4 linked regions of the Schizosaccharomyces pombe genome follow. Changing the gene in region 3 together with the main gene of any one other region gives a genetic interaction. Each region holds a gene or a part of one and is shown on either strand. Other genes may lie near its edges.

Region 1 (4,490 bases), on a different chromosome or scaffold from region 3:
CCGAAAAATTAGGAGACATAAAAATTAATGAGGAAGTACAGCAAAAAGACGAGCAAGAATGCCCTGGAGATAAAGTAATTCCTCCAGAATATGCTATTCAAGAGGTTTTATGGTCACATGTTGTTGAAGTTATTCAATCTCGTAGTGGTCTTCCACTAGATTGTATTGTTTCTATACTTTCTAGCATCCTCAATTTTTTCTTGCGGTGTTACCCTTATAAACCCCAGTATGCAGATCGTGTTTTTCAATACATTAACGAACATATCATTAACCAGCCCTCCTTACGAAGCGCTCTTCATGAACGTCCATTACAAAAAAGTCTTTGCGCAATTTTATTGCTTCCTCTTACATATTTCCCTTCCTTTTCTTACTGTCTTGAGCTACAGAATTTCCTTCCTGTATTTAATGCGCAAGATCCAAACCTTCGTTACGATATTGCAAGAATGATTGTTCAAAAGATAATTGAAAAAGGCCACTCATTAAGTGAGCTTACAGAAGCACAAGAGCTACTAGGTTTTGTGTCTGTCATTATTGAAAAAAAGGGAGTTGATAGCCTTGATGACTTACAAAACGTTGCTTTGATGGTTCATTATTTGAATAATGATGACCCGCAAATTCAAATAGAGGTACTATATTTTTTTTCTTACTGATTTACTGACAACTTAGATACTTCGATCCTTGAAAGATACATTTATAAAAGCCGGTGAGAATGTCAAATATCTTTTGCCGGTCGTTGTTAATAGATGCATATTCCTTGCACGAAACTTTCGAATATTTAAGGTATATTTTGTGTTTTGCAAGTCTTTACTAACAATACATTTAGTGTATGGATTGGGCTGAGAAAGTTCGTCTTCTTTGGGAATTTGTAAACACTTGTATCAATGTTCTTTACAAAAACGGAGATTCTTTAGAGCTGTGCCTTGCATTATATTTAAGTGCCGCTGAAATGGCTGATCAAGAAAATTATCCTGATTTTGCTTACGAATTTTTCACACAGGCGTTTTCTATTTACGAGGAGTCTGTCCTTGACTCTGAATTGCAATATCAACAATTACTAATGATTATCGGGAAATTACAGAAAACTCGTAATTTCTCTGTTGATGATTATGACACGTTAATTACAAAGTGCACTTTATATGCTTCAAAGCTTTTGAAAAAGCCTGATCAATGTTGGTAAGAAACAATGATACTATATATTAAAGTGATTATACTAATTTTTTACTTTAGTGGGATTTACTTGGCTAGTCATCTATGGTGGCAGGTCGCATCAGGAGAAGATTCAAGGGTAAGCAAATTGTGATTTCTCATCTATATTTACTAACATTCCTATAGCCTTTTCAGGATCCAAAACGGGTACTCGAATGTCTGCAAAAAAGTCTCAAGATTGCTGATGCTTGTATGGATCAGGTATGCTCATAAATTTAAATTTCGTTTGTAAAATCCTTTTTTCACATGTTATTCTCAGGACATATGTTGTTATTAACTTTTTTTTAGCTTACTAGCCTGAAGCTTTTTATCAATATATTGGAACGTTACTTTTATTATTATGATCAGCATTGCGAATCTATCATTGCCAAACATATAAGTGGACTAATTGACCTTACAGAGCAGAACATGAGATCCATTTTAATATCCTCGCCTGCCGACCTTATTGCTAGTGATCCAAGAGCGTATGCTAGTTCGATCTGGGAGGTTGCTAATGTATCGGTAATTGATTCTCTTAAAAATCATTTAGAAAGAGCAACTGCTTACGCAGAGAAACGTTCTGAAGATGAACGTTGGTCTAGTATTTTTCAATGATTTCTCGTATGCGTTTATATCATGTCTTACTCCCTAATATACTTCTAATAAAATTTTTGTATTACTAATTTATTCATTTTTCTCTTGACAGCTATATTTCAGGTTCTTAGATTTTTTTCTAATAGAAACTGCTTACCAAACTTTTTTTTCAACTCGTACTTGAAGCTACGATCATAGCCACTTCAGTCCGTATTCCTAATATATTGAATTTTTATTCGAAATTTGCATTTGTATGCCTCATTAATTAAAAAAAGAAAGAAAAGAGGCTTAATTGGTAAAAAACAATAGTGTTATTGTCTTGAAAAAGTACTTTTCATCAGGCATTGCAAGCACTTCGTCAAACACCTACTTCTATGGACGTATTACATATTTATTGTAAAGAACTACAATAGACTTAAAATGAGTGACGATAGATTTGCAGAAGATGAAATTATACAGCAAAGACGGAAACGGAGGTTGGAAATTTTAAAGAAGTACCAACAGACTGGCAATGGCCATTCGGATTTGTCAATTCCAGAGAAAAAGCTAAAAGAAGATGTCGACCAAGTCTCTACAACGAAACCTATCGAAGCTGTACCAAAAATGAAAACCAATGCATCTAAAATTGAGATTAACAAAGAAGGTTCTAATTCTAATACTAAGCTTGATGTAACTAATAGTACTACTAGTGATTCCCCCTCTATCAAATCTTCTGTACAAATTGAAGATACTGAAGATGACATGTTTGCAGATTCTCCTTCGCCTTCTGTTAAGCGGCAAAACACTGGGAAAGGTATTTCCACTCTAACTAGGAGTTTTGCAGATATGCAGGATAATTGGGACGATATTGAAGGTTATTATAAGGTAGTTCTTATGGAGGAATTGGATTCTCGTTACATCGTTCAGTCCAACCTTGGTAAAGGCATGTTCTCTACGGTGGTCAGTGCTTTGGATCGGAATAGAAATCAAACTTTCGCTATAAAAATAATTAGAAACAATGAGGTAATGTATAAGGAGGGACTCAAAGAAGTATCAATTCTTGAGCGACTGCAAGCAGCGGATCGTGAAGGTAAGCAGCACATAATCCACTATGAAAGGCATTTCATGCACAAAAATCATCTTTGCATGGTGTTTGAGATGTTAAGTCTTAATCTTCGGGACATTTTGAAAAAATTTGGGCGTAACGTTGGGTTGAGTATAAAGGCTGTTCGTCTGTATGCCTATCAAATGTTCATGGCATTGGATTTGTTGAAGCAATGCAACGTAATTCATTCAGATATCAAACCGGACAATATGCTGGTGAACGAAAAAAGAAATATTTTAAAAATATGTGACCTTGGTTCTGCTTCAGATGCCTCTGAAAATGAAATAACACCGTACCTCGTGAGTCGATTTTATCGTGCTCCAGAAATCAGTAAGTCTAAATAAACGCCAAATTGCTTATAATTCCAAAAATATGGAAATTGAATTCTTCTTCTCATTACTTTTGTACTCTTTTTTCAAGATCTAACCTTTAAAATAGTTTTAGGCTTTCCTTATTCGTGTCCAATAGATACATGGAGTGTTGGATGTTCTTTATATGAGTTGTATACTGGTCAAATACTATTTCCTGGCCGAACAAATAACCAGATGCTTCGCTATATGATGGAATGTAAGGGGAAGTTCAGTCATAAAATGTTAAAAAGAAGTCAATTTTTAAATGACCATTTCGACGCGGATTTCAATTTCATACAAATTGATCATGACCCCATTACAAATCAAGAAACGAGGAAACCTGTAAAATTCTCTAAGCCGACCAAAGACATTCGATCTCGTTTAAAAGAAGTCCCAACTTCAACTGATGAGGAATTTATAATTCGACAAGAGCTTATGGATCTTTTGGAAAAATGTTTGGAGCTTAATCCAGAGAAACGCGTACCGCCTGAAGTAGCTTTGAAGCATCCTTTCTTTATAAAAAAATAAACTGCGGGTTCATGGGTAACTATCAATTTAGAGTGAAGCAGACACTGTTTCTTAGTTACGTGATCTCTCTGGTCAATCAATACCAATCAATGTATATATTTTATCTAACCAAGTGTAACAATTTTGAATAGTAGAAACGCCAACTGGTTTGTTGTTTGACTTACAAATCTATGTGGTTTTCAATTTTCTTTCTCCAGTGTAAATAGTGTTTGTGTCGAAAGAGTCTCATACTCGTTCAACAAATTAGATACTAATGCAAAACTAATTGCTTCATTTTATTTTATCATTTGCGAAATAAAACCAATGGTAACGACATTTCGATAACTGCGTAGATGTCACATATGCTGTCAATGGCCGTGGACATTTTAGCAATTGCCAACATTCCTAACAAAATCTCTGTGACCCAAAATTCATCATAAAAATATGAGAGATCGTTTAAAGGATCCTGTAAAAATATTTGAAATAAATAAAGGGAAACGCCCTGTACACATAGCGGCACCAATGGTGCGGTATTCAAAGTTACCATTCAGGCAACTAGTGAGAGATTATAACACTGATATAGTGTATACTCCGATGATTTTAGCAAAAGAATTTTTACATCCTAAAGGACGTTATTTTGATTTTTCTACAAACGATGCAGATGCAAGCTTGATTCTACAATTCGGTGTGGATGACCCAGTAATTTTGGAAAAGGCGGCACAACTTGTTGGACCCTATGTAGATGGTATTGGAATTAACTGTGGTTGCCC
Region 2 (3,398 bases), on a different chromosome or scaffold from region 3:
TGTATACTAATATATAATCATAGACATTGACAGGGAAAGAGGTTCGTGTTTTAAATGTTGAAAACATTTATATGCAGTTATAATTCATCTATGTTTCTAACCAAAATATAAGATCGAATTAGACATTGATCCAAATGACAAGGTTTCTAGGATCAAAGAACGGGTTGAAGAAAAAGAGGGTATCCCTCCTTCACAGCAGCGTCTGATCTACGCTGGAAAGCAAATGTAAGCACTATGGGAACATCCATACAATGATTCTAACAAACATCACGTAGGGCTGATGATAAAAATGCTGAAAGTTATCATTTAGAAGGAGGCAGCGTCTTGCATCTTGTGTTAGCTCTTCGTGGAGGAAGTTGCTAGTTGTTGCATACTTTATTTATAAAGAAAAATTATGTATAAAAAATCATACTTTTATTTAACGCTATAAACGAAATCTTTTTACTGTTTTACTAATACTAAGAGTAACGAAATGAGAATTGAGTCGCTTTATTATTGCTCTGTTTCATTTTATGTGAATCTATTGATTTGTATAAAAATATTGCTTAAGCTTTTCTAAACTTAAGACGTTTTGGTGATCATGAATTTCAGCGATAAGATTGATTACTTCTTGTTAATTTATGAGTAAAGTAGTCGTAAAGAGACGTTTTGCACAGAAAAGTCAATATATAACAACAATTGCTTGCGCATTCCCATCTGATATCAAAGTATATAAAGCAGTAGCATGCGAAGCAAAACTTCCTCAGTACAACATCGAATGTAATTACCATAAACGCAAAATCTCTAGTAAGACTAAAAGAAAATGTTGTTTAAATAAAACTAACTGCAAAATGCTATGTAGCAAAAACATGGGCTGTTGTGGGAATCGAACCCACGACCACCATCACCCTAAGATGGTATCATACCACTAGACCAAACGGCCACATTGATAGGGGTGCCACTTAAACATATATAAAGGAAATATACATGTAAATCTATATAAATTACATTTTTAAGGAGGAAAGTATAATCAATATGCTTATAAATTGCCATTTCAATGTATTGATTCTCATTTTTCTATTTAAGAAGTTTTAAATTTTTTTTGTTTATGAGAAAGTGACATCGGCTTTAAGGAACTGCTCTATTTAAAAGCAAGAGAGATTCATTTAATTATAAATAGTCTGCATAAAGCCAAATTACTATTATAAAAATTAAAAAAAAATGATATTCTTTCTTAATTTCAAATTAATTCTGATAACCGGATTTTCGAAGTTTTATGTAATCTTAAGATTGAAGTACTAGTTTTTATAATCGTGAGTACAAAAAATCCATCCAAAAATCTTTGGGCTGTATATTTAAGAACAAATTAAAGTAACTTTAGTTTAATCAACAAAGGTAAGGATTTATAAACTTCATTAGGTGTTTTTTAAAGTTATTAAAAAAAAAAAAAAAAAAAAAAAAATCTCTCAAATTGTTCGGCTACAGATTTTTTGAAAGCTTCTATTTTCCAATAAGGATTCTAATAAAATATAATAAAGAGGGAAAAATGATGCTAAATTATAATTTTTTTTATTGGTTTCCCAAATTTTTAATCTTTTTTTATTGAATTAATGTTGTAATAATTTAAAAAATATTGTATTAAAGAGTAATGTTTATGATCGCAACTAAGCACTTTTCTCCGCCTGGCGGTAGTTCTAGCTTACTAAGTGCTATAATTTCACCTATTTAAATTTTTGATTAAAACCGTCAACCAAAATTATAATTCAAATGCGTGGATTTATTGCAAACTCTTTAAAGCCGCATATGAGATCTTTTGCTCTGCGCAGAAGTTTTACTAGCTCTCGTATTTTGAGAAAGGTGAACGCAGTTGAATCGTTTGGCGATTACAATACTCGAATTAGGTATGTATAGTCAATAATATATCATAGTAAAAAATAAAAGATAAAACTTTTTCGAATAGATCTCCTTGCTAATTGCTACTAGTGCTGACAAAGTTACCGTCGTTGATTTCTATGCAGACTGGTGCGGTCCTTGCAAATACCTCAAACCGTTTCTTGAAAAATTAAGCGAACAAAATCAGAAAGCATCTTTTATTGCTGTTAATGCAGATAAATTTTCTGATATTGCTCAAAAGAACGGTGTTTATGCCTTGCCTACCATGGTATTGTTTCGTAAGGGTCAAGAATTGGACAGAATCGTCGGCGCTGATGTGAAAACTTTATCTTCTTTGTTGGCAAAATATCAAGAATAGAATATGGGATATTGGTGTCCCCATTCGTAAATTGCTTGATTTACTTTCTCGATTCAATTTGTTGATTGCACTGTATTATGTCAAAACTAGGTTTTAAAAACTTGACACGGCTTATTTTATTTAAGATTTAAGATTTAAGGGTTTTTACTTTATGAATTTCATTATATAATTGCCGGACCAAATTTGCTGAAATCAAAAATATCCTTTCAGAAATACCTAATAGGGGAATGTTCAACTCAATTAACACAGGAAGCTACAAGAATGAGCTATTTTATAACAACGTGAGTATTTCTATGAGGTGATTAAGGAATAATTTTTGAGGTTCATAGATAAAGCATTAATATATCCTTTACGTTTGTGACATAACCATTCGATTTTGGATATTATTACACAGATACTGCTCTATTTATTCATTTAGACATAACACCATGAACGAGAATGCGTATATAATACACGGTTTTAAACCAGACAACAAAACATAATTTCAGGCATTAATCAGCAATAAAGAAAAATCTAATTATAGTTTTCGTTTTTAACAAAATTTGAGGCTCTAAATGTATAGTGTATTCAAGAAGTTATTCAATATCCTCAAAATAATAAATAGAAATTATGCGTTGAACACATAATATAACTTTGAAGGCATCAGTACTCTTTATTAAATCCAAAAGCTTAGGAATTGTATTTTCATCATTGCAACAACTTATTAATAAAGCGGCATACGCAAGTTGATGAGGATGTGCCATTAAACATAAACTGCTGGCATATGAATCGTTAACAATGCTCCTATTTCCTCGATCGTTAGAAAAATCTAATCGACTGTGATTTTCAATATAAGAAGTATACATACCAAGCAAACTCAAGCTGCTTTTGATTGATAATGCCATCATGAAATGCTTGCTCAAGAGAAGTGTAGGGATGGTGAACAATGAGAAATGCATCAAGGACTGAAATGATTTCAAATTCTATTTCGGAAATATTAGAACGACTAAGTTTAACTTTTAGGCTCCAGAGATCATTAGCCTCATTGCAAATTGTGCGAATGTGAACAGGGCATTCTTCCACTTTGCATGATAAATAAATGCATGTAGCCACTAGCGCCTCCAAAGAAAAACCCTTTTCCTCATTTTTTTTTAGCATGTAACGCCTTAATAAAACGATGGCTGTAGCT
Region 3 (8,052 bases):
GATCAAATCTCTAAGTTTCGGTTCAACATCAAGCCATTGTTGATCATCCAGGTTGGGCCACACGTGATTCTCTTTTGTAATTATAGACTTGTCTGGTCTAAGAATTAGCTTCGTTTTCTCAGTATTGACATTCAATGCGCGCAAGATAAGTATCAAGCGTGAAAAAGCTGTATACGATGATACCGATTGAAGCCAGTCATCATATAAATTGAAAAGTACCATTTGCGGTTCGGTGGCACGTAAAATCAAATCATTGATTTTATCAAGTTTAATAATCGCTTGGAAAGGAAGCTGTAATTCACTACCCTTAATGGTTATATTAGGAAAGTCCAAAAGATGAACTTCTAATGGATCCAACATGCCCTTTCGAGTTACTATAATCTGTCGAGGTTGTTCTTCAACAGGCAGAGAACGAATCAAAGCAGCAACTTCTTCAGCAGTCTTCCATTTCGCCAATTGTCCCAATCGTTTTTGTCCCGCCCAAACTGACGTATGAATAACTTTTAAGAACAATTGACCAGTTCTCGGATTGAATATAAAAATAGCACCATTAATGGGTTTCGTAGTCAAATTACCTTCAAATGTTTTATGAATGGTAACCCGATAAACATTAGTATCATCAACGAATAATTGAATTTGATTACTAAAGAGTTCAGCATAATTTGAGGAGGACAAATACTGCTCTTGGGGTTCAGAAGCATATAATTGAAGACCTTTTCGTATGCGTTCACGCAACACATATAAGGCTGGATTGGCTTTCATGATCTTGTTCATGCTCTGTTGAATTAATGGTTTCATACCAGGAATCCAGTTACCATATGCACTATGCATATTGTAACAAAGATCAATGCCGATTAAGACACCGGTCGGTGAAGGATACATGCTTTGAGCATCAGTGCTATAATCCAAAAATTTAGCTCTAGTATAACGTTCAATATCATGAGAATCATAATCTCCAAATCGAAGTTGTACATCAATCCAATATTTGTTGGTGGTAGTGTTGTCAAGCACATCGCGATTATCGTTCAATAAGGATGGCCTTGATACGTTCCATTTATAGGCAGCCAAAAGGAGGATATCTGCACAAGAACTATTCATTTTATAACTTTTACGAGGATGGATAGTTTCTTTTTGGACTGTTTCAATTTGCAATGACTCTAATTCTTGGTCAAGCACTTGACACAAATCCCAAACAACAGATTCATGAATTTTTTGCCATAAATGAGAACGAAAAATTTGAATGAGTGAAATCTTCAGGGTTGGAATTTTGCCATGCATCATGATTCCAGTCAAATCCAGTTGTACTTGAAATCCGACATAAACGTTAGCACGATTGATAGTGGGACTCCACCAAAGCGTAAATCTACGGTTAGGGATTTGATTTAAACCTGAACGCTGAGCATTAGTAAGCTTTTTGAACTTCATGGATTCTTCAAAACCAGATGCTTTTTCCCAAAAAAGACCTTCCCATGAAGGAAATCCAGTAGCTTTAAACATCGTATGCTCCAAAATACCTTCGACACCACCTAAAGCCTGAATGACATCTACTCGGTAATTATTTAATTGCCATAATTTTCCATCATGTCTTTGACTCGTCCACCAGAATGGATTGTTTTTAAGGAGCTGGTACTGCTTAAACTCAGTCCTAACACGCCATCCTTTATCATATGCCAATGTGTGTCTATCTTTTTGAAATAGAGTATTTATACGAGGAATTCCTCGATCCCATGAATCTTCCAGATCCTCTAAAGTTAAACGACGATTTTGTTGTAGAGCTTCTTGTCTCTTCATTGCATACTCAGCCCATACACGCTGAGAGTCAATAAACTCTGATTCCCATGGCTGAATATAACGATAAAGGTTTGGAATCAAATGTTCTCCATTGGTAGTCATTCCACTTCGAAAATGAGTAATACCAGTATCAGTTTGTTTCGACCATCTAAGATCAGATTGTGGAATAAGTACATGACCCATTGAAAGCATTCCTAATCCACCAAGTTCTTTAGGCGAGTAGAAAACGGCTGGAGGAAAGCGACTAGGCATTTTAGAATTTAATGAAATTTTTACTCGAGTTTGTATTTTCGATTCACATTTAACAAGTAAATCTAGAAGCTCGGGCGTAGAAATCGCGGCTTCCCTATAATAAGTCATGAGAGCTATTAGAGCAGTATTCCATTTATTAGCAATCTTGGTAAAGGTAGTGGAACCAGAGGACATAAGAATCTGACGTATACGGTTTCCAAATTGATTTATACCATCCTCCGTAACACGTATGAAAGCTTGCGCTGTCCGTTGTTTCGTACGATTATCTGTGAGATTCCATACACCATCCTTCAAAGAAAATTCTTCATTTTGTCGGATCTTTGGAAGGATTCTAACCTCGAATCCTGTCATCGAGAACAATAAATTAGGATTGTCTTTGCTGTAAACACTAGGAAAGGTATCCTCCCACTCAAGGGTAGTTAGTGATCTAGGTAAACGATTACGAATCTCCCAAAAGACAGCACGTCCGAGATTCACGTCGTGTTTCATGAGTCTCATACGAGCATCTCGAGGCCAACAATTTTTTTTACCTTTAGAATAATTTACAACATTGCTGTTTGTGGGATCAGGATTTTCATTCAAAAATCGTTGAATCAAATCACGGGATTCTTCATCAGTAAATCGAAACATTATATAAACTTTATCAATATAGCGTGTATACAGTCGAATAGGGTGACTGGTCTCAGTTGCCTGATCTTTGAAGTGTAGAAAATCATTCGGTGCATCTGCAGGACCAGCTATTTCTGTAGCGCGTTGAAGGCCAAGTATTAGTAAATCCAACACTAATCCATAAAACTGCCAGATGAAACTTGAAAATTGTAAACCACGGACTAGGCCATACGAGTTGGTATGCGACATATCCTTATATGACAAAACAACGTTGTTTTTAGCACTAGCGTAGGAAGCTAAATTGGTGTCCATTAGTAATGACATCAGTCTATTAAGAAGTGTTAAGTCAACTTTCTCAAATACTTTAGACAGCCTAGTTTCCATTAAAACGTTACATTCGCCGTTGGAAGTTTCCCAAACATCTGTAAGATTATTAATTCCTTGGCACCATTTGTAAACAAGAAGAGGTGGAGGTTCTGAATCAGAAGGCTTTACCCAGGAAGGAAATAGGTGTCGACGATCGGCCTCAAACCAAAGGTATTGATCGAGATAAGCATCACAAATTTTCTCCATCGGATCTACAGAATAAACAGGAATCAAGTGAGAATACATATCCATAAACTCAATCCCTACCTCTTTAAAAGTACGCATTGTCAATAAACGCCTTTTAATTTGGGACAGCATCTCATGTGGATTATCGTAGGCTTGTTCCACTAATGCTAATTCCTCTCGTTGGGATTGATTCAAGCGACCCTTCACCGAATACGCTTCTTTTAAGCGTTCAAGTGCTAAAACAAGAAGTTTCGTATCATGTTTGTACGAAAGTGGAGGAAAGGGAATAGGTTGGAATCGCCTACTTTCTAACCAATGTACAAAAGTAGTATATATAGCAACTGCCTCATCGGCAGTTACATAAGGTCCATCTTTTAGATAATTATGTTGCCTTTCTTGTTCAGCTTTTAACCAAAGCCTAGTTAATCTGCCAAGATTCTTTTTCGCCACGGTTTTATCAACAGTAGCTCCTCGACGAATACGTTCACGATTGAAGTGAGCGACTGAGGTCCACCAATCTGCTTTTGACTTCACATATCTCAAAATCATATTCTCAATAGGTGCAGGGAGACCCGGAACCTTCCAAGGTATGTTAGCCTTCCAACAACGCCAAGCTTCACTAAGATGCTGCAAAATGGTTTTGCTTTTGCCTTGGCGAATTCCTTCAGGTATCATATCCAAAATATCATTCATCACTGCAGCCCTCAATTCTAGATCTTGATGAGAATCGACACGCTGCTTGGTTATTTGTTTTGCCACTCCTGTAGAATGACGGCCTTCAAATTGTCTAGCAAGCAAATTGCCCAGCCAGCGCTCTAGCAAAGGAACAATTCCGCGTAGAAAGAAAAGCCATACACGCCAACTGGGAGCCCAAAACCCACAACCTGGACCTTTGCCAACAGGACCAGTGTTGAAGCGATAATAAATAAGATGCTTGAAATCTTTGCAAGCACGAATCTGCCGCATCAATCGATATTTATAACGATACATTCCCGTAAGTTGACCAACATGATTAAATATGTAATGTAATCCATCAGCTAGCTGATATGCGTCAATGTTTCCCAAACGATACTGTACATGAGAATCGACAATTAATTTAGTAAGGCGAAGTATTTCGCGCATCAAGTGAAATGCATTACCAAACCTAGATTTCTTTCTTTCCTTCGTAGTTAATGTCTTTGTAGGTTTTAAATTACAGTTGTAATCCAAATGTAAATATGTCAACCCTTTTCTGTGAATAAGTAATTGCAGCATGTTGTACCCTTGGCGACAAACTTGGAGACCAGCTTCAACCCAATCGATAGAAGTACTTTGAAAAAATTTAGTATTTTTTAACTGTCTAAGTAAGCTGCGATTGGTGTGCGATTTGGGATGCGCCATGTGCAACTTATTCATAACATGGGATTTTAAAAGTTTTTGATATGACACACGAACTTTAACAGGCTGATTAGGAGGACAATGCTCTAAATACCAATGCTTTATCAGTGGAACATCTTGCGCACGCTTAGTCGCACCAGATCGCTTATTAAAAGGATGGGGTGCCCACAATAAAATCAGAGCACTGGCTGTGTGCTCAAATTCTATATCTTCGGAATGAAAGAAAGGATCGAAAGGGATTTCAAAATTAGGATCTTCTTCTATGGCAGAATCTTCGGGAGAGGTATCTAGTTCATGCAAAGTGAGTTGGCGGGAAGTGATGGGGTTTATTATGGGATCCCAAAAAAAAGCCGGAAGATCAGGATCCTCAGGAGGAACGAAAACATTAGACGGTTGGTGGTATTCACTTAGTGCAACGCTTCGAGCTCTAGAATTATAAAGGTAAGGAAACGCTATCCGGTATTCAGTTTTAATGGGATGTCGGATAATAAGTTTATAAATGTCATTAAATTCATTCCAATCTTCCATTTCTGGGGCTTCGTCTTTGTATAAAGGTTCAAATTTCGGACCTCCTGGGATAGCCACGTTCAAAGCTTTAGCCGTAAAGAAACTATTGTCATTAAACAAGTAAAAGTAATTATCATCGCGTAAATCACTCAAAAGTTGGTAACCTAAACGATGTAAATTAGCCATCTGAGGTAAATTAAGCTTCCAACGACGATAGGTTGGACCATTTACATGGGGAGTATCTTCCAAAGCCTTATTTTCGTAAAACCAATCCATAACAGGAGCGTCATCTTCTTCATCTAAGTCCATTCTAATAGCCTCTAACGGCTCTAAATCAAGCAATTGATCAATAGAAAATGGTGGCTCTTCATCGTCAAAAGGAGGAAACCGCAAACGCTTAAAATTTTTTCGATCACGCTTCTCGCGTCTCATCATCATCCACATCGTTCCCCATTGAGCAATAAAATGCGGTTCAATTACGCGAGGACTCTCGTTTACAAAAGTTATAGCACCGGTTACATGATATAAAACCTTGACCTCCCTGTATTCTTCCCAAGGCATTGGCATGTTCTCAAGCAATTTTAGCACAGCATGTGGCAAGTACTTCAAAGCGCCCAAATAGGAACGTTTATCAGCACGAAACTTCCTAGAAGACATATCTCCCCTGTCTTTCATAATTTTGCGCAGGTGCTCAGGCGGAAGATCAGCTTTCTCTGTTTGAACATAACCCTGCTTCCTTTTGACACCAAACTTTGATTTTTGAGAAGCGCGCCATTTGCGTGCTCTTTCGTTAAGTTGCTTTTCAAGATTTCCAGACTGTGCTGGAGTCTTGTTTTTTCTTTTCTTCACATAACCTGGAGGTGGAGGAGGTGGAGGCTGTGAAGGAGGCTCAAATCCAGGCGGAGGAGGCGGTGGAGGAGGATTCCCCGGTGGTAACGACGCCATTTAGGTAATGGTATTTGTCAGCTGAATTGTGGTAGTGAATATTACTTTGTATGGTGGTGACCCTCGCCATTATTTGTGCGTAATATTCTTTTGTGCGTTTTATTTCATATTAGGTCTATGTAGTCTTCTGCTCATAATACGTGTTTAATGTATATTTTTTTACACGCTATACGGGATTTGAAAATTCAAATTTTCTTCGTTAAAATGCAACACGCTTAAGAAGTTTGTCAACCAAACACCTACCCATATCCAAAGGTTAATTTGAACATAATCATGCTCAATCGAATCGCCTTATAAGAATTAGTAAAGATGTATGTATTGACATAAATTACATTTTGTTATAAAAAAGTGTTATTTGTAATTATAAACCTTTAACTAATTCAGAAAGTATAAATTACCAAGTACAACTAGTATGCATAAACCAAAAATTCCTATTCCTTGATTTAGTGTTTCAGGTTCAACGGCTTTAGTTGAAAAAAAAAATTTGAAAAATAACACCGAGTTAAATAAGATTTGTACAGTATAAGTAAACACAAGTAGTGATAAAAAAACCCCCCACACTAAGTGAATGAAATGGGAAAACTGTGCAAATTATCAGAATTAAAGGGGAGAAAATATCACATAGTATACATATTTCGCCAAAAGAATATGGACAAGTATTAATGTGCAAAGATATTTGACGGTTTTAAGTTAATTCGAATTAAATCATTGGGTAGTTAAAGAGACGGAAAAATGAACAAAGTGAAACGTCTCATGAATAAAATTTGGAGAAAATCAAATGTAAGAACATATTGGTGTTTAATTTGAGACGGCCATCCAAAACATCCAAAGTTAAAACCTTGTTATATTGAGCAGACAACAAGTCGTCCAAATGCAATTCACACCTTGGGCTCGAAACTTTAACTGTCGGGCTTGTTGCTTCCAGAATAAATTTGCCAACTTCATCGGCTGATATAGTAATATACAATTTTTCTTTCTGCGGCATATGAGATATTGATACCAAAACTCCTCGGTCATAGAGTTTAAGAGCTGGGTACTTGAACGACCCAAAGCGAGGAACGCGTCCAGATTTTCGGAGATCTCGCATGTGAAAATACTGTTTAGAAAAAGGAATAAGCTTCTTCTTACCCTTCTTTGATTGTAATGTTTCCATAGCTTGTTCAATGTATTCGTTATAACTTTTTAGCTGCGAATCAAGGAAAGCTCTTTTTTCTCGTAAGTTAAGCAAACTTTGATGTCCCGCATCAAGTTCACGCTGTCGTTGCATCCTTCTTCTCGACTTATTACGGATATCTAGAGCGATAGAATTTACCATATCTTGGTAATTATTCCGTCGGTTTGCAAATCCAAGCTTTTCCATTTCCACTATATTGCTTAGTGCAGTGTATTTCAGTTCTGCAAATGACATTGAAAAGATAGAATCATCAAACAAATCATAATTCCTTGCATTCTTTTCAGATTCTTCTGCCAATAAATTTTGCCATGCTGCTTCGTCTGAATCTGTAACCGGTTTGACAAGTATTTCCAAAAGATTAAGGCCATTTTGAATTCGAATAATAAATAATATATATCTCTTTGTCTGAACAATAAGAGTCCGTTCCTGAGCAACGGGATTTTCTATAGTGCAAAATTTGGGATTCAATTCTAGTTTGACGTCAGTTTCATCTTGCACAAAGTCATTGTCTTGCTCTGAAACAGGACCTAAGCTATTGACAACAGCGCGTAATGGATCGTTCACATCAGGAGGAGCAATACTATCTATGACATATGCAATAGATGAATAAATGCCTAAAATATCGTCTCGCTTCATGTATATTACTGGCCGCTTGGTATTAACAAGGTCTTCAAAAGCATCGAACTCAAAGTACACCTCTGGATCAACCACATCGACAAGCCTTTCTAGCATCAACATGGTATCCTGCTTGGACACCTCAATAAACTCGGAGAGTGGTCTAAAAAAACCAAGTTGCTTAGAGTCACAGGACTCGATTGAAAAGATCTCAGACAAAATGCTTGACA
Region 4 (5,075 bases), 630 kb from region 3:
AATTATCTCGAGAAGAAAATTGGGATTCTTTTAATTTTTTGTTCCCTCTACTGCGTGAATTTGAATTCGATTTCATAGCTCCTTTGTTCTTTTTAAGCACAACATTGCTCTTTCGCTTTACAAACCTAGTTATCGGATACTTTTGAACATCATTTCTCTGTACATTGTCTTGATTTGATACCATAAATTAGGGGAATGTTTTAAGTTGACAGATTTGTCGACTAATAGTTTCAGTAGTTTGTTATACGTGAAAAACCAATATAGTATACCAAAAAGTAGAAAAAATAGTAAAAAAAGCTTTTACGTTTTTTGGATGAATTATATTCAATTTTAGTAACCTTCGATTGACTCAAATATAACTTAGTTGTGTTTCAGACAACACTACGAGGTGCATGCCTGATGTGTTGATCCTACCATCAGCCACTATACCATGGTTTACCTGCAAACTGTGAATGAGTTCTTCACACAGTCAAAATCATTAACGGAGGCTTATCCAAAAACGGTATGGTGTTGATGATATCTTTGATAATCAAACTCTGACTTTTTTCATTTAGACCAAACTTAGTATCAAATATCGCACGAATGAGCAGAGTCAAAATTATTTAATCGCGAAAGCCTTTGAAAGTGCTTCTGGAATATGTCTAAAATATAGGACTGACAAGGCGGCTGAACTTGGCAGATTACTTCTAATTGCAAACAAACTTAGTTATGTCTCCACAGGTAACGAAATTCCTCCTGAACCAGGTATGTATTATTAGTATATCAATTGTTTTTGCATTGTTATAAAAAGAAGCGCTTGGAAGGAAGATGTTTTCCTTTAAAAGTAGTTATTAATGTAACTATGCTCTTCTAATTTTTACGTTTCGCTAACAGTCATGTTATATAGAACAAGAGGTAGTGGCTTCTCCGGTTACAGAGCAAAAGAAAGCGGAGCCTTCCGCTCCTCCTAAGGGTTCAAAGAAAAAAAAAAGGGGGAAGAAGAAATGAGTGTAGCACTTGGCGTGTTTTTTTTTTTCATTTTGTTCATTTAGTGTCACGTTAGATATCTTAGGATCGGATTAATTCTTTACTTTTATCTTACAATAGCAATTCTCTCGGTTTATCAATAAAGGTAAAAAGGATAATTTGCAGTGTAAGTCAGTCGTTCTGTACTTTCTTATTCGACCAACATGAATAATGGCCCCTTCTTTCTTAATATCATTTTTTATTTGCAAATGCTATACATAATCAAAAGGATGCATTCGCATTGGTATTACCGATGTGATTGGTTATAAAAGTATAACAAGCATGTGTATTCATTTACAGGTATTTCAAGTGCTAAAATATAATATTTCCTTTATGCACAGTTGGTAACATATTATTTAGTACAAAAATCTTTATTCGGTGAATTTCATTATTCATTCGCTAGGACAGATCGTTTAGACAAGGATGAAAAGTTTTACTGCATTAGCAAATAAGTAAAAAAAGTTGATGTTTCTGCTTTTAAAATATCGTTTGTTTACAGTTACCGATTGCACAAAAACTAGTTTACTACAGTGTGAACTTCATATTCAATATACAAGCAATTTTCCTTTTAAAGTTTGCTAGAGCAACTTTTTTAATATGGATATGTATAGACACAACTTCATTTTCACCTTAATAGTATCTTTATTTAAGTTTATCACATTTTGTTTACCATTTTGTTCATAAACCAATTTATGTAGGTTGAGAGAATTAGCATCATAGTTCAAAAATTCTTATTATGTTAATCTATGATTGATCTAAACAAAATTATTATCATCAATTATCTCCAAAGCTATTGAGTAAACGTTTTTGTTTAATTATGAGAAATATATTACTGCCTGCTTAATTTCCACCTTCCAGTGCTGTGGGCATTAACACCAAAAAATCGGCAACTCAACAATTATTTGAGCATTAGGAGTGCCTTTCTTTATTTATTATTGGGATACTCAGGGGCTTAATTTTTTATTTTTTAGCAACGGATTGGTTTTCTTTTGATCCTTTATTATTAGCCTACAAATATATTTGTTAAATTACAGCCTTTTTTTTACCTTACCTATGGGCTTACTGGAATTCTAACAGAAGCTAAAAGATACTTTCATTTTCTTTCAAAAGCATAATTGATTGCTTTATAGGTAATCTTGTTGGACAATCTGAAGTGTTTTCTATTCAGATTACTGTTTGCTACTACTATAAGTGTTCTCGTGTTCCTTCAATCACTGTTATTGATCCAAGATATTTGGACATTTGATGCTAAATCTTATTTACATGTAATTTTGTTTGTAGTAAGAAGTTGAAAACGTTCAGTTTTAACAATTTTTTTATGTTTAGGCATTTGGTACGAAAAGTTTTGTCCTTCCATTTATCTTTTTAATCCCCTCTTTATTTAACTTAAACACTTTCAGGGATTCTACATGCCTAACTCAACTGCCCAATATCCGGAAAAGGATTCATGGGAATTCTTAGTCAAATCTGGAATTGCTGGTGGTACAGCTGGATGCGTTGCAAAATCAGTAGTTGCCCCATTAGATAGAGTGAAAATCCTTTACCAAACCAATCACGCTTCTTATCGAGGGTATGCTTATTCACGGCATGGGCTTTATAAGGCTATCAAACACATTTACCACGTCTATGGCTTACACGGTCTTTATCAAGGCCACACTGCTACTTTATACAGAGTCTTCCCTTATGCGGGCATTAAATTTGTTGCATACGAACAAGTACGGCGTGTTTTAATTCGTGACCCTGAACATGAAACACATGCTCGGCGATTTTTATCAGGATCACTTGCCGGAACTTGCTCTGTTTTTTTTACATACCCGTTAGAGCTGATTCGTGTTCGTTTAGCCTACATAACCAATACAGGGAAGAATCCTACCCTAACTCAAGTTACAAAAGATATATTTCACGAACGTGATTTTTTGTGCAATAAGAAGTATCCTGGGTTATCCCGTTTGTCAAAAATCTGTAATTTTTATCGTGGATTTTCTGTTACGTTAACTGGAATCTTTCCATATGCTGGTATGTCGTTTCTTGCCTACGATCTTGCAACTGATTTTTTTCATAAACAAAAAATTGACGAATGGGTTTCTACAAAAAAGTCAGATAAAAAACTTAAAACTTGGCCCGAACTACTTTGTGGAGCATTTGCAGGAGTTTGTGGTCAAACGGTTTCTTACCCATTCGAAGTTTGTCGACGAAAAATGCAAATTGGTGGTATCAGAAAAAATAAATCATTTCTTAGACTTAAGCAGGTAGTACAAACTACTTACAAAGAAGCCGGTATGAGAGGTTTTTTCGTTGGACTTACCATAGGTTACATTAAGGTTATCCCAATGGTAAGCACTAGCTTTTTTGTTTACAATCACAGCAAAGCGCTTTTAGGGATAGATTGAGACTGCAGACATAGTTTTCTATGAAAAAAATTATCCCTTTTTTAAAAATTTATAAAAAAAGATCTACGGGATTATAGGTGTATGATATATTCATTAGTTGCAGATTGTTACATCGTGACCATGCAATGAAAGAGATGTATTTTATTAAAACGGAACAAGAAATAGCAACCCAAAGTCAAATAACACGTTTTTTCTAAGTCCACAACTCTGAATTGAATAATTTGCTATCATACTAGCAGCCAAAACTAGATGTGCAAATGGTTCAAAGGGAAAATGAAGTACTTAAAGATAGCTGCTAATAATTGTGTTAAATGAAAAAACAATTATTGAAATGAAAAGAAAGAGATGAAACAAAAGACAGGAACGGTGCATTCACCAAACAGCTCAAATATTCTGCAATAATACTTGCTAACATATAACACAACATTTAGTTGAAACCTCATCTTCGGTTTTACTGTTATTTACAGCGCTAGCTCTTTTAGCAGTTGAAGCTGGAACTTGGGCAGTCTGGACGGCCTGCTTATTCTGAAAACCTTTTTCTTCTGATTTGTTATAGCGACGGATCGTGCGAACCAAACTATAAAAAGCTTCTTCTACATTTAACCTTAGCTTCGCCGAAGTTTCAACATATAAACAATGCATGCTTTTTGCAAGTTGTTCGCCTTCAGCTCTTGAAACTACACGTTCAGCTTCAAGGTCGCATTTATTAGCCACTAAAACGACTGGAAATGTATCCTTATCCTTAACTCTAAGGATTTGTTGATAAAATGTAGAAATTTCGTCAAAAGAGGACCGAGAGGTAATATTATAAACTAATAAAAAACCCTCTCCGGTTCTCATATATTGTTCACGCATAGCGGAATATTCCTCTTGACCGGCCGTGTCCAATACATCTAAAAGCGCACCTTCACCATCAATTTCACACTTTTTCCGATATGAATCTTCGATTGTAGGATCGTATTCGTCAACAAAATGCGATTGAATTAATTGAATTGTCAAAGCACTTTTACCAACACCACCATCTCCTACAACTACCAATTTGTACTCTCTTAAGTAGGTAGACTATAAATATTATCGTTGATTAGTTTGTTGTAATCAATAAAAGATAACCCCAAGTCATTGCTTAGACTTACCCTCATATTCACTATTTTATAAAGCACACTAAGTTTAATCGTATATTTCTTTAGGTTGCTTTTAAAACAAAATACAAAAAGTGTGTAGGCTTGGTAATTAAAAAATATTGGTTGGTCTTAAGCTCGTTAAAATGTGTTTGGCAGTTTTCAAGTAATGCAGTCAACAATTACTGATGGCAAACCGACAAGCTAGTAATAAAGAAATTCAGAAGTTATAATTTTTTAAAGGTATCTGGTGCAATAAAAACGAAATATTAATGTTAACAGCTAATTATGTTAAATCCATCAATAAACATTTGATCTTCTATTAAAATACCAAAAATTCTGCCATTTGTATTTGACAGATATATTGCATTAGTGCTTTGTCTACCTTTAAAAGCATACGAAGTATTGTTTGAAGAATTCCCTATTCAGCCCAACTTAACCAAATTAGCAGCAAATTTAAGTATTGCTTTTGAACTTTCTATACTGAACATTAAATATTTCTTTATTAAAATTAAAAAGCTTCTAAAAATTTTGCTCAAGTGTTCGCAATACATGCATGAAG

The links.
Region 1: of spp42 (region 3) and prp4, a mutation in one rescues a mutant of the other (synthetic rescue), as found in Schizosaccharomyces pombe (one study listed by BioGRID).
Region 2: mutations in spp42 (region 3) and trx2 together harm fitness more than expected from each alone (negative genetic interaction), as found in Schizosaccharomyces pombe (one large-scale study listed by BioGRID).
Region 4: mutations in spp42 (region 3) and leu5 together harm fitness more than expected from each alone (negative genetic interaction), as found in Schizosaccharomyces pombe (one large-scale study listed by BioGRID).

What each region holds. Positions count from the first base shown.
Region 1 is NC_003421.2:1,620,538-1,625,027, forward strand, and holds prp4 (serine/threonine protein kinase Prp4), read left to right. Parts: upstream 1-1,961; 5' UTR 1,962-2,199; coding exon 2,200-3,193; exon of another isoform or gene 3,194-3,301; coding exon 3,302-3,741; 3' UTR 3,742-3,938; downstream 3,939-4,490. Other genes in the region: retromer complex subunit Vps35, read left to right, coding at 1-626, 667-780, 824-1,173, 1,228-1,285, 1,333-1,407, 1,495-1,800; tRNA dihydrouridine synthase Dus4, read left to right, coding at 4,165-4,490. UniProt on the Schizosaccharomyces pombe protein: Has a role in pre-mRNA splicing and is essential for growth. Phosphorylates srp1.
Region 2 is NC_003423.3:2,316,816-2,320,213, reverse strand, and holds trx2 (thioredoxin Trx2), read left to right. Parts: upstream 1-1,683; 5' UTR 1,684-1,746; coding exon 1,747-1,880; intron 1,881-1,936; exon of another isoform or gene 1,937-1,962; coding exon 1,963-2,230; 3' UTR 2,231-2,805; downstream 2,806-3,398. Other genes in the region: ubiquitin-like protein modifier for cullin Ned8, read left to right, coding at 24-41, 113-225, 276-363; cyclin CycC-like Srb mediator subunit Srb11, read right to left, coding at 2,806-3,013, 3,078-3,398. UniProt on the Schizosaccharomyces pombe protein: Disulfide reductase which serves multiple functions in mitochondria, protecting mitochondrial components against thiol-oxidative damage as a thiol-disulfide oxidoreductase, and supporting urea cycle and respiration in mitochondria in a manner independent of active site thiols.
Region 3 is NC_003424.3:2,648,719-2,656,770, reverse strand, and holds the start of spp42 (U5 snRNP complex subunit Spp42), read right to left. Parts: upstream 6,053-8,052; 5' UTR 6,034-6,052; coding exon 1-6,033. Other genes in the region: rng2 (IQ motif containing GTPase activating protein), read right to left, coding at 6,785-8,052.
Region 4 is NC_003424.3:2,015,955-2,021,029, forward strand, and holds leu5 (coenzyme A transporter), read left to right. Parts: upstream 1-1,853; 5' UTR 1,854-2,414; coding exon 2,415-3,395; 3' UTR 3,396-3,803; coding exon of another isoform or gene 3,804-4,457; 3' UTR 4,458-4,528; downstream 4,529-5,075. Other genes in the region: SPOM_SPAC17H9.06C (uncharacterized protein), read right to left, coding at 1-184; signal recognition particle subunit Srp21, read left to right, coding at 431-502, 555-744, 887-987; GTPase Ras1, read right to left, coding at 3,804-4,457, 4,529-4,534.